Linked DNA regions of Drosophila melanogaster. The protein of the gene in region 2 interacts with the protein of the main gene of each other region in a pairwise test. Each region holds a gene or a part of one and is shown on either strand. Other genes may lie near its edges.

The links.
Region 1: the proteins of CG17271 (region 2) and Rbp interact in a two-hybrid assay, tested with the Drosophila melanogaster proteins (one large-scale study listed by BioGRID).
Region 3: the proteins of CG17271 (region 2) and mura interact in a two-hybrid assay, tested with the Drosophila melanogaster proteins (one large-scale study listed by BioGRID).

The regions. Positions count from the first base shown.
Region 1 is NT_033777.3:15,372,624-15,376,379, reverse strand, and holds the start of Rbp (RIM-binding protein), read right to left. Parts: upstream 1,746-3,756; 5' UTR 1,519-1,745; coding exon 1,412-1,518; exon of another isoform or gene 703-1,411; intron 1-702. Other genes in the region: Ccm3 (cerebral cavernous malformation 3), read right to left, coding at 2,910-2,994, 3,367-3,531, 3,617-3,749.
Region 2 is NT_033777.3:20,820,102-20,823,857, forward strand, and holds the start of CG17271 (uncharacterized protein), read right to left. Parts: upstream 1,748-3,756; 5' UTR 1,611-1,747; coding exon 1,500-1,610; intron 1,441-1,499; coding exon 1,327-1,440; intron 1,266-1,326; coding exon 1,045-1,265; intron 698-1,044; coding exon 549-697; intron 343-548; coding exon 92-342; 3' UTR 1-91. Other genes in the region: RpS20 (ribosomal protein S20), read left to right, coding at 2,170-2,172, 2,317-2,472, 2,701-2,790, 3,031-3,144; CG17272 (uncharacterized protein), read right to left, coding at 3,288-3,638, 3,702-3,756.
Region 3 is NT_033777.3:9,549,611-9,553,366, reverse strand, and holds the start of mura (murashka), read left to right. Parts: upstream 1-2,028; 5' UTR 2,029-2,051; intron 2,052-3,556; exon of another isoform or gene 3,557-3,756. Other genes in the region: RnpS1 (RNA-binding protein S1), read right to left, coding at 1-676, 945-1,106, 1,183-1,184.

The DNA.
Region 1 (3,756 bases), 5.4 Mb from region 2:
TTGAATAGTTGCACATTTGAGTTCTTCATGTATTAAATACATATGCAACATGTTAATTTAAATTTGGCCAATTATGTTTTAATTCATCTACAGAAAAAACTACATATTTATAGAAGGAAGCTATGAAGACTTTCTTTTCATAATAAGCCCGTCTAGGTTGTGATAATGTTGTATTAAGTATCCGCAACGTGTACCAGGCCATCGACGCGTGACTTTCGATCATTGCAGTGGAAACTGAGTACAGTGGGCTATAAATATATACGAAATACGTGAAAGCATTCAATCGGTGGAAAGTGCTGTTACGGGTATTAAAACACCGCTCCAGAGAAGGTAACGGTAACCGCATGCACGCTGTAGATACCTTTAGTGTACATATATATGTATGCATATGTACATGCATACGTACATACACACGAACGTGTGTGGTGGGTGTACACTGTATGTAGTATGTGTGTTACGCACGCAGCAGCAAACAACTTTAACATTGTTGTTGCGCAGGCTGTGGGACAAGTGTGAAGTGAAAACCGCCCCCAGAGTGCGAACCCAAAAAGTGGGACTTTTCTGCTGCTGCTGCTGCTGGTGCTGCTGGAAGCTTATGAATATGAAACGCTCACACACACATGCTGCTCCTGCCGTTGTGGCACTTGCAGTGGTATTGGTGCTGCTCCAGTTTCGTTGGCCATTTACATCTACTTTACTTACATGCCTCTCGCTCTTTTCGCTTTCTCTGTATGTGTGTGGCGGGTGTATGCGTGAGTGTGTGTGGGTGCGCGCTTTTTTGTGCCAAAATGTAGCTGAACTCTGCTTTTAGCCAATTTCTCCGATTTTATTTAGGCATTTTTCTATAATTTCGGTTTCATTCACCATTTCGCCTGCCTCGGTTTTACAGTGATTACCCGCATTTGCATATTGTATATGCATCAGCATGTGGGCGAGTATGTATATGTATATGTTTGGATATATGTATGCATGTGAGTGTGTGTGGGAGAGTGTAGTTTTACGCTGGCTGCTCTTTTTCGTATTTTTTTTTTTTTTTTGCCTTTATCGATATGCTTACACTTTTACTTTTCACTGTCCCACCATTTTCCCGGAATCATTATATCTTTCACTGGATTTTTTAACTGCACTCGCGGCGAGCTTTTTCACGTTATTGGCGAGAAAATGAAATTTTCACGCAGCAGCGGTGCTGTTGGGCAAACATTTGGTGTACAGCGAAATTTTTCGTGAGCTCGCTCGCTCGCATAACAGCTCTTTTTTTCAGCTTGCGCAAAATAAGTATTTACCACGCGATTTTGACACTTTTTGCTTAAACTGCGGTTTTCGTTTTCGGAAGCACAGGATTTTATCCTTTCTTTTTGGGTTAACTTTTTGTAATATTTTGTATTCGGGGGCTTTTGAACGGGTTGCGAACCTTTTTTGCTGCTTGTGCTTCTGCTTCTTGCTTGCTGCTGCTGCTGCTTTTTCAGGTCGCCTGTTTTCCTCTTCCACGTTTGCGCTGGGAAATTCACATAAATGCATATAGTTTACACTAGGCTACGTAGGCTGTACATAATATATCCGAAAAACGCGATCGTTTCACTGCTACTATATAGAAAAAAACTCCGCCTAGTTGTCCACTTTCTGTGGGTAGTAGCAGTTGGGTCTCAGTGCGAATACCGAAAAGTGGGTCATCTCGGTCGCGCTGCTGGCGCACTCTGATTTCTACCCAACTGCCAGCTCGGTGCTCAGTGTGCCAGAGCAGAGTGGCCCAGAGAACCCAGAGCCGAGCACTCAGTACCCAGTGCCCACTATTCAGTGTGCGGGGAATCGATTTTTCTGCCAAATGACACTGAAAAACGGGCAATTCTCTCCCGCTCTCAGAAGGACTCCTTTGGGGTTGCAACTGGGTAAATTTCTGCTCAGGGCCTGTTATTGGGGGTTTACTATTACTTTTGGCTGTTATCCGTTAACAGCGCTGTCCTCTGTTAACGACATGTGCGTGTAAATCTGAGATTTTGATTTCAGTTTACCAATCTCTGATTTTCGAAATCAATTCTCGGGTAATATAAAACAATTATTTCCACATCATACCACACCTAATACTATAAATTATAAAGTAATTTTACGTAAATTGGTTAAATATGAAACACTCTTTTCAATTTTGGAATATAAATACATTTATTTGTCGTTTTCTTTTCGCTATGTCTACATTATGAGTTTGTTGCCGTTCTTTTACTTTTGCTTAGTGTTCGATTTTCATATAACATTTTATTAATTAAAATAATTTTTTCTCCATCCTGTTGATAGTGCTGTCGGCCACTAATGTCTTTCGCTTTCGCAGTTTTCAAATAGAACATATCATTAAGTAAAAGATTATTATGTATAGTGTTTAAATTTCAAACTCTAACAATTAAAAACAGTTAAAAATTTAAGTGTTCCGTTAATGTTTTTGTTTGTCATCTCCCCGTAGTACATACATTTCCTGTTTCTCGTTTTTTTTCCACTAATTTTAAATTTATTCGTAGGCGCTTCTCCTAAACAAAAACAAACTAGCCGATGTTGTTTGTTAACAGAAAAAGAATGAATTATTTACAATAAATTGTAAACGAAAAATAAACTCTCGCACACATCGTCCGTCTCCATAAATAGTTGCTCACTAGTTAATTACAATGCTTAGGCTTCGCAAAATTTTGTGTCCGAGTATGTGTAATACATATGTATATACGATATAAATTAGGCCTATTTATTTAGTTACAACAGATTTTCATTTACGTTCAAACATTTAACTTGGACTGCGTCGGGCGATTTTGTATTTAAGTGTGTTGAGTTTATTTGATTTGTTTCGGTCTTGGTATGTTAAATGGTTATTTAAACATAAAATTAAAATGCCACTAATTAATTAATTTGCCATAATTAAAGGATTTAATTCTCTACTCGCATTTACTCTTAACTGTCAGCATTATTTGATTCGTTTGCCGTATTAGAAAAAGTGCACTTATGAATACTGCATTCGGTCTGAAAATAGATAAAATAAAAGAGAATCGGTTAGAAAATCCTTGCTGAAGCAATTTGAATTAGTAATGCAATTTGGCCCCAATTTCATGAAAAGGTCAGCGGTAATAGCCATTAGTACGTAATCGAAGCAATTTACAATTTAAAATGGGCGGGGGTCCGGCTTAATATCCGCCCCTCAGAATCTCCGGCGCAAAATGATAAACCAAACAATACCCGGAATGCCAATGGAATGACATCATCTCAACGGTTGGCCCGAAACGATAAGAAACCAGATATGAGCCGATTTAAAGAAACCGGCTGTCATGGCGTCGCAGCGTATCGTTTGATAACACATATAGTAAATAATCACTGCAGGTGATTCTTAATACTTACTGTCCTTCTTTGAAGTACTCCTTCAGCGTTGTGCTGAACTTCTTGGAATATTTGACGAACTCCTTCTTACGCTGCTCCACAGCCTGCTTGCCCGTTACGCCAGGTATAAACGAGCCGATCTCGTTGACCACATCGAGTAGTTTCTTTATGGCGCTGGCGATTTCCCTGTAAAACGCAGTAAAATTTCATTATTCATTAATCAGTTAAGCTTATGCAGTGAGTTTTAGCTTCATTTTGAGTTTTTACTTACTTGATGGTCTCCAGGAAGGTCTTCCTGTCGTTTATCTCATCGGGTATGCGGCTGAGGATCACCTTGAGAGCCACGGACTTACGATTGAGCTCCTGGAAGGGCTCCTCCGTGCGCGTCAAGCGGTATTCATTGACTGTGGA
Region 2 (3,756 bases):
TGGGCAGAAACAGGAGTATGTGTTGCACGTCACAGAGCGCGGGACGAGGACATGGTTTTATGTATGTAAACTGAACGCATCTGGGTGACTACTAATGAACCGGCTGCTGCTGCTGCTGCTGTTGCTGTTCGTGCGGCTGCTGTTGTTGCTGCTGCTGCTGCTGCTGCTTCTCGGCGGCCTTTTGCTGCGCCTTAATGAACTCCGGATAGTCGATGTAGCCGTCGCGTGAGGTGTCGTCCATCTGCAGGATGGGATCAATGAGGGCCACCAGCTCCTCGTCGGAGAAAACCTTCTCCTCCACATGCGGCTTCTCACCGTTCGGCTGCTCCTTGCTGCCTTGCTCTGCATGGCAATGATTTGTTATGGCGGATGCGAGATGGATTAGCATGAGATTCGAGCATGACCACAACCATAACCGGAAACAGCCCAGTTTTATTACGCATATGCAAAGAAGTAGAACAGAATAGTGGGTCAAACAAAACGAAATACAGAAACCACAAACGCAACTCTAACCAGCGAGCCAGATTAAAAAGCAGTAGCTATCTTACCGTGCCAATGGATCAGCGATTTGATCAGCTCGCAGCCGTCCAACTTGTTGTTGTTGTCCGAGTCGTGCATCTTGAAGTAGTGGAACTGCAGCTCAGCCTCGGACATCTTGCTCGTATCGATTGGCACTTGCATGTGCTCCTGGATGTGACTGAAATTGAAAGAGTAAGGTTTGGTATTAGATCCAACTGATCGTTGATTTGGTTGAAGAAATAGATCAGCCCAGAAATATTATGTAAGTACTATGTCTAATTTACTTTTAACATGGAACTTTTGATATATAATTTCTTTAAATGCGAATGGAAACATTTGCTGTATGAAAATGTCACTATGCTTAATTTATAGACTTTTTTCCTAATTAAGCCTTAGGTTTGCGGTACAACAAAATACCTCCCTTCACTTTTATGATTTATTTATGACATTTTTACTCGTATACCCTAAAGCTCCATTGATGGATAATGATTGCCAGTGGCAGTGATAAGATAGACGGGCACTTACGCGCGCTCCTGCTGAATGTTGCCGGTGTTTAGGACTTGCTGCGGTTGCCCATGGTGGTGGCCACCTGCCTGCTGGTGGTGCCCCTGCTGCGGCTGTTGCTGTTGCTGCATCGTCGGTTGCTGGTGGATTGGTTGATGTTGCTGCTGCTGCTGCTGCACAGGAACTTGCTGATATTGGACCGGTGCCTGCTGTTGCACGGGAACTTGAACCTGTTCGTATTGCTGGAAGTCGGAGGCCTACTGGTTAATTGCTTGCCATTCGGAAATGCGCATTTGCACTCACGTATTGCTGGGGCGGCACACCGGGTGCTGAGTGGACCTGTTGCTGGTACTGCGGCTGGTGGTGCTGCGGTGGTGGCGGTGGGTGGTGCTGCGGCACCTGCTGCGGCACTTGTTGCTGCAATATGTGTGGGTTAATTCCCTCATTGGCGAATGGGGGTGCTTCAAATCACTCACATAGTGCTGCGGATTCACTCCGGGAGCGACGCGCTGTCCGCTGGCCAATCCAATCAGGATTAGGGGCAGCAGCAGCTGAACTGCTGGCAATTCCGTGACGCGCATCTGCATGGAAGTGCTGGATTCTGGCGGGGATCGGATCGGATCGGTTTGGGATCTATATCGCTTCTGGTGGCTCTGTAATCACCACGTCGCAAAGACGAAACACACACGTACACAAATCGCTTCTTCTTCGCCGGTGGACATTCGCAGCGAGCGACAGCTGATTCTCAGGTAAGTGCGGACATTCGCCACGAAACGTGTGAGCGGCATGACAACACTGCGCGCCTGGGTTAGGGGTATGCGCGTAGATAATATTATCATGCTTCAAACCGAAAAAAAAAATCATAAAAACAAACTTGATGCTTCCATTTAACAACTCAAAATTTAATCAATCTAATATGTGTACGATTTCACCGTTAGGGGTTTAGTATTAGTACCCCGCTAATATTTAGCTCAAGGAACACCCCAAATGCAGTTGGGCATAATTAGGGTGTTTTAAAGATTGAAGCTACGGTCTACCGTGGACACCCTGTAAAACTTCTCTTCGTTTTCAACCAGCAAATTGACTGGTTCAGCGCTGCTCAAAATACAAAGATTTGAATATCTCGACCAGGGAAATTGCTAAATAATGGTAAGAATGCTGTTGCCGAACAATCCGCAACTACTGCGAGTCAATAGTAGTGCTTGCATTGCCCTTGCCAACACGAAATACCGTGCACGTGCGATGGCCGTTCAACCTAACCCCACTTAATCGATGTTTCCGCCAAATCCACAGGCTGCTGCACCCAAGGATATTGAGAAGCCCCATGTCGGCGATTCTGCCTCTGTGCACCGCATCCGCATCACCCTGACATCCAGGAACGTGCGTTCGCTGGAGAATGTGTGCCGCGACCTGATCAACGGTGCAAAGAACCAGAACTTGCGCGTCAAGGTGAGAATTTTGCGTCCAACTCAGGGATTTAGAGGTTGCATTTACCTGGAGGCTTTGCGTTCCCCCAGACGCTTAGCCTAGTCATTAATAAATGCTAGATAAAGTGCCAGAATCGGACATTATTCCCGCACTGATCGACTGCAGAGCTGGAATATCACATGGTTCAGGCTACAATACCCATTTTCATGAGGAATTCCTTTCTAATTCTTAAATATTCATTTATTTCAGGGCCCCGTGCGCATGCCGACCAAGACCCTTCGCATCACCACCCGTAAGACTCCTTGTGGTGAGGGTTCCAAGACCTGGGATCGCTTCCAGGTGGGTTATCCCCTATAATATATATAGTAACAAACGGGCGAATCTGATATCGTGGTTGGGCATTCAACCAGTCGCTCCACAGTATCAATGATTTGCCCAGATAAAACGTATTCTCATAGTACAATTTGTTGGTATTTCCTCACACTTTGCCTCTCTGAATGCGACAAAACTAATTAATAATGACTCAGCTATTAGCTTGCCAATGGAGTTGCATATTAAATCAATATTACATTATTCCAGATGAGAATCCACAAGCGCATCATCGACTTGCACTCGCCCTCTGAGATCGTCAAGAAGATTACCTCCATCAACATCGAGCCCGGCGTAGAGGTTGAGGTCACCATCGCCAACTAAGATCGGCAGATGCCACATTTTTACACCTCGAAAAGTTTGGCGTGCTAATAAAAACAAAGAACTTTTTCCATACACATTTGGCCAACTTTATTGTGCGAAAATTGGAGTACTTTACTGGAATGTTTTTTTATGGTAAAGGCAGTCTAATAGTAGTCGGGAACTGGGGCGCATGCAATCTTGACAAAGTCTGCATACCGCACAGTGCTATTGTTGTTCACATTGGCCTCCCGGAAGATGTTGTCCACTTCGCGCATGGACAGGCCCTCTCCCCAGTTTTGAAGTAGATTACGCAGCTGTCTGGCCGAGATGGTGCCCTTATTCTGCGGATCGGCCGCTTTAAAGGCGGCAATGACCTCGTCCGGCAAACTCTCCACCTTGGAGTGCTGATGCATGATGTCCAGGAAGTCGGCGAAGCTCATTTTCCCATTCTTTTGCTTCAGATAGGAAACCAGTTCTTGGATCGTCGGCGAAAGACCCAAAGAACGCATAATAACCTGATGACGTGAAGTTTACACCATTAGTATGTTTTTTTTTTCTGGGGTGGGAGCTCAACTCACGGTTAGTTCGTCCAAATTGTTGATTTGGCCCGAACGGGCGAACAGATAAAAACAC
Region 3 (3,756 bases), about 11 Mb from region 2:
ATGCTTCATGGCCGACTCACAATCCTCGGGTGTGGCATATTCCACAAACGCCACGCCGCGTCCGAAGTTAGGATGAAAACGATCTACGGGAAACTCCACATTCTTCACATCCCCAAAGCTGCTAAATATCTCGAACACATGGTCCTTGGTAACGTTGCGGGTAAGCCGACCGACATGAATGCGCACCTGTTTGGGCGAAGGCGAGCGAGTCCGCGAACGGGAGCGCTCCCTTCGCTTCGGTGGCGGCGTCCTCTCAACGGAGCCGCGACCACGACGGCGTGGCGATCGTGAACGACTGGCTGAGCGAGAACGCTCCCGCTTAACATTATTGCTATCGGCGGCTGCCCTATCGTTGGATCCAGCACGGCGGGCACGATCCCTCGACCGACTACGACGATCGCGATCTCGCTCCGGCTCTTTTCGCGCCTTGCTGCCCGGTCTTGGAGATTTGGAGACACGCCTGGGGGAACGGGTGCGAGAGCGGGAACGTGATCGGGCGCTGGGCTTATCCTTGTCTTTGTCTTTGCCAGCAGCGCCGCCGCCACGTCTTCGGTTCTTCTCGCTGCGATCCGAATCGCTGGACGACGATGATGAGGAGCTCGAGGAGTCGCTGGAGCTGCTTGAGCTGGAACGCGATGACCCGGAACTGCTCCGCGAAGAGCTGCTGTCCGATGTGCTGGAAAAAGTGAAGTGTTTTATTTACTTCTCGTAACCAAGAAAACGGCAATGAAGCTGGTACAAAGTAAAACACTTCCTAACTGTGATGAAATTTTACCATATATGGTATGTGAATTTTTACAAAATCTTTTCGCTCGAAGGCTATTTTCTTCCCGTACTATCTGCTACGTTTTACAGAAGAAGAAGGACTTCCTTTTAAAAGTAACCCTTATTCCGGTTGGCAGATGGCAGCCATTTGTGGGAAAGACCTTTGCCGGCTGATTTACCTGCTTCTGGAGTCGCTGCTGGAGGACGCCGATCCGCGGCGTTTGCGTTCGCGGTCCCTGCGCGAGGAGCCGCTGGTCGCCTTGCCGTCCTTCTCTTTGGCGACCTTCTCCTTGTTGTCCTTTTCCTTCTCACCCTCGCCGGCGAGACTCTGGGCACGCGCCCTGTTTTTTTTTATTTGTCGAGAAAAGCGAGCTGTTTTAGACCATTTAGGGAGCAAAATGTGGTGCAGATACTTACATTTTCGTATTGCCGATTTGTTAAACGATTAGTTTTATAGTACCGCACACTCTTTTAGGTGCAAGCTAAAATGTTTTTATTAATAAATCTTGTTTTTCTCAACTAGAGTTAAATGCGAGTAGCGTTTTCAGTGGAGATTAGTGTGGCCGTGTTTGTGAACGTGTAAATATGACAAAAAAATAGAATACACACTTATTAAAATAAAATCCAGTTCCTTTACTTTGCTATTAAAAAACTGTTTTGCGAATATTAAGAAGCATTTTTAGTTAAATATAAATAAATTTCTTTTATAATATGCTTAAATCTCAAATTCTAGTATACAAATGTTTCTAGAGTATTTGGGATTAAGATAACAGACACCACTTGGTAATTTCTCACAGTCTCGCCGCGGCCACACTCTTTGTCAGGTCGAACCCAAGGTAAACTCCCATAAAGCGTAAAAATTTAAGACCTTTCCTGCCTAGCAATTTGGACTCGATAGGAAGTAATAATGTATACCGTGTAATATGAATAGTGCTTGTTTTCGTAACGTACGAATGTAGTGGAATTACATAAAACGCAATTGATTTAAGGCCAGCACTTTTTTATCTGCTGGTGACGAAGTGGTTGTCATTGTGAGTTCACATCCGTGTGCCTGTATGTGTGTGAACTTGTGTTGATTTTGTCCATGCGAGCAAGCGAGATAGCAAAAGGGGGCCGCGGGGGCTGGCCACAGCCACAGAGTTTCGATTTTCCATCCATATATCTACACTCGCAGCGGAAACGAGAGAGAGAAAGAGAGTGTGAGAGAGAGGAGCGCCCCGTCTGGTCTGGGCACATTTTACCACACTGCGTCTTTGTCTGCCGTCGAGTCGGGAGCTCCGCGTCTGGTGTGTAGTATTATTATTCTTAATATTTCGGATTACTCTGCCTGTAGCTCAATAGCAATATTAAAACCCCGCCCCGAATGCTTTGCGTTGAAAAACATATCTTAGTGTGTGTGTGAGTGCAAAGTGCAGTTATGTTGTGGCAGCAGTCAATGCAAATTAACCAGTGTCTATACCTCAAAGGCACATTTTTTTAGCCCCATCATCGTGTTTTGAAACGCCACAGCGCAGCGTAATTGCCAAAAACCAGCTAGCCAACAAGAGTTTCGTTGGTATACATATCCATATATTCATATAATCAATGTGTGTAAAGAAAACGAAACTAAGAAAAGCGAAAAAGAGCATTCGATGAAGTTGACTGTCATGACTACGCAATAGCAACAACAATAGGAGCTGCCAACAGACACATGTATGCACAGTAGGTGGGTCCTCTCACGTGCTCTCAGTGCCGCTCTCTGCTCTCCCTCTCTCGGTTTCTTTGTGCATCGGTGTGAGTGTGTATGTGTGTTGGGGTCCGGACTCCATGGAAAAAGCGAATATTTTGATGCCTGCTTCCTTGTGTGTATATGCGTATATTTTTTATAATTTATTGTTTTAATTTTGAGAGGGCGTAGTGTGACCCCAACTCGAACACCGACCCTGCCCAAGTATGCATAGAAGAACGCGCACACACATTTGTGGTCAAAATAATAGTTAAATTACGGAAATGTAGTCTATTTACAATGTTGAAGGAGAGCACCGAAGAGGTCGCTCTTTATATACATACATACATACATAAGTATATGTTATCGCTGCATTAAGTCTTATAATCTATGTTTAGAAATGCACTTATCTTATCTTTATAATAATATTTACCACAAATACCCTGATCAAAGAGGGGTTTTATGCCGTGACACAGTCGTTATACGAAGAGGGTGCTTCCAAAATCTTAGTGCTTCCATTTTAAAAGCATCGAAATTTATGTTATGAAAAGAAAAAGAACTTCTTATGCTAAGAATATATCACTATATAATTGCGGAGAATATCTTTGGGGTACAAATTATAGAATTCCATTATATAATATATATAATATTATATAATATATATAATATTTCTACTTAAATGTCTGTTTTAAGCAACACTAACCTTCTTCTTAGAAGAAACTTTACTCCACTTCAACATATTCAAGTAACCATTTCTCAGAGACTACAAACCAAAAATAGTTTACAGCACTATTAGTTTAACTGCAACTGTATATTGAACCACAATTACAACCATTATCGTTATGATAAACAAGCATTTGTATATTGTACTGCCTGCCTATATTTTACGTCTAATTTGCATTACATTGGCATTAATACTCATTGGCCGCAATTAAAACCAGGCTTTATATATATAGATCTATATTTTAATATTATTCCACATATACATACATTTATTGCTAACCAAACTAAACCAACCCAAGTAATTAGTTTCTCAACTGAATGTAATAGCAATGTTTTCTTTTACTTTTATTTTCTTTGTTTTAGCATACATACAATATTTTATTGCTGGTTTTGGTGGTAAATTTGCATTGTTAACGGCCGCGGCCAGACGTGCCCCGCTTCTTTAACACACACGTCTCTCAAACGAATACCGATCATCAAGTGTTTCCCCTATTGACTCTCGTATATAGCAACACGTAAAAACCAATATATAGCGATACTGATACCGAAAGCAACTAAACCGA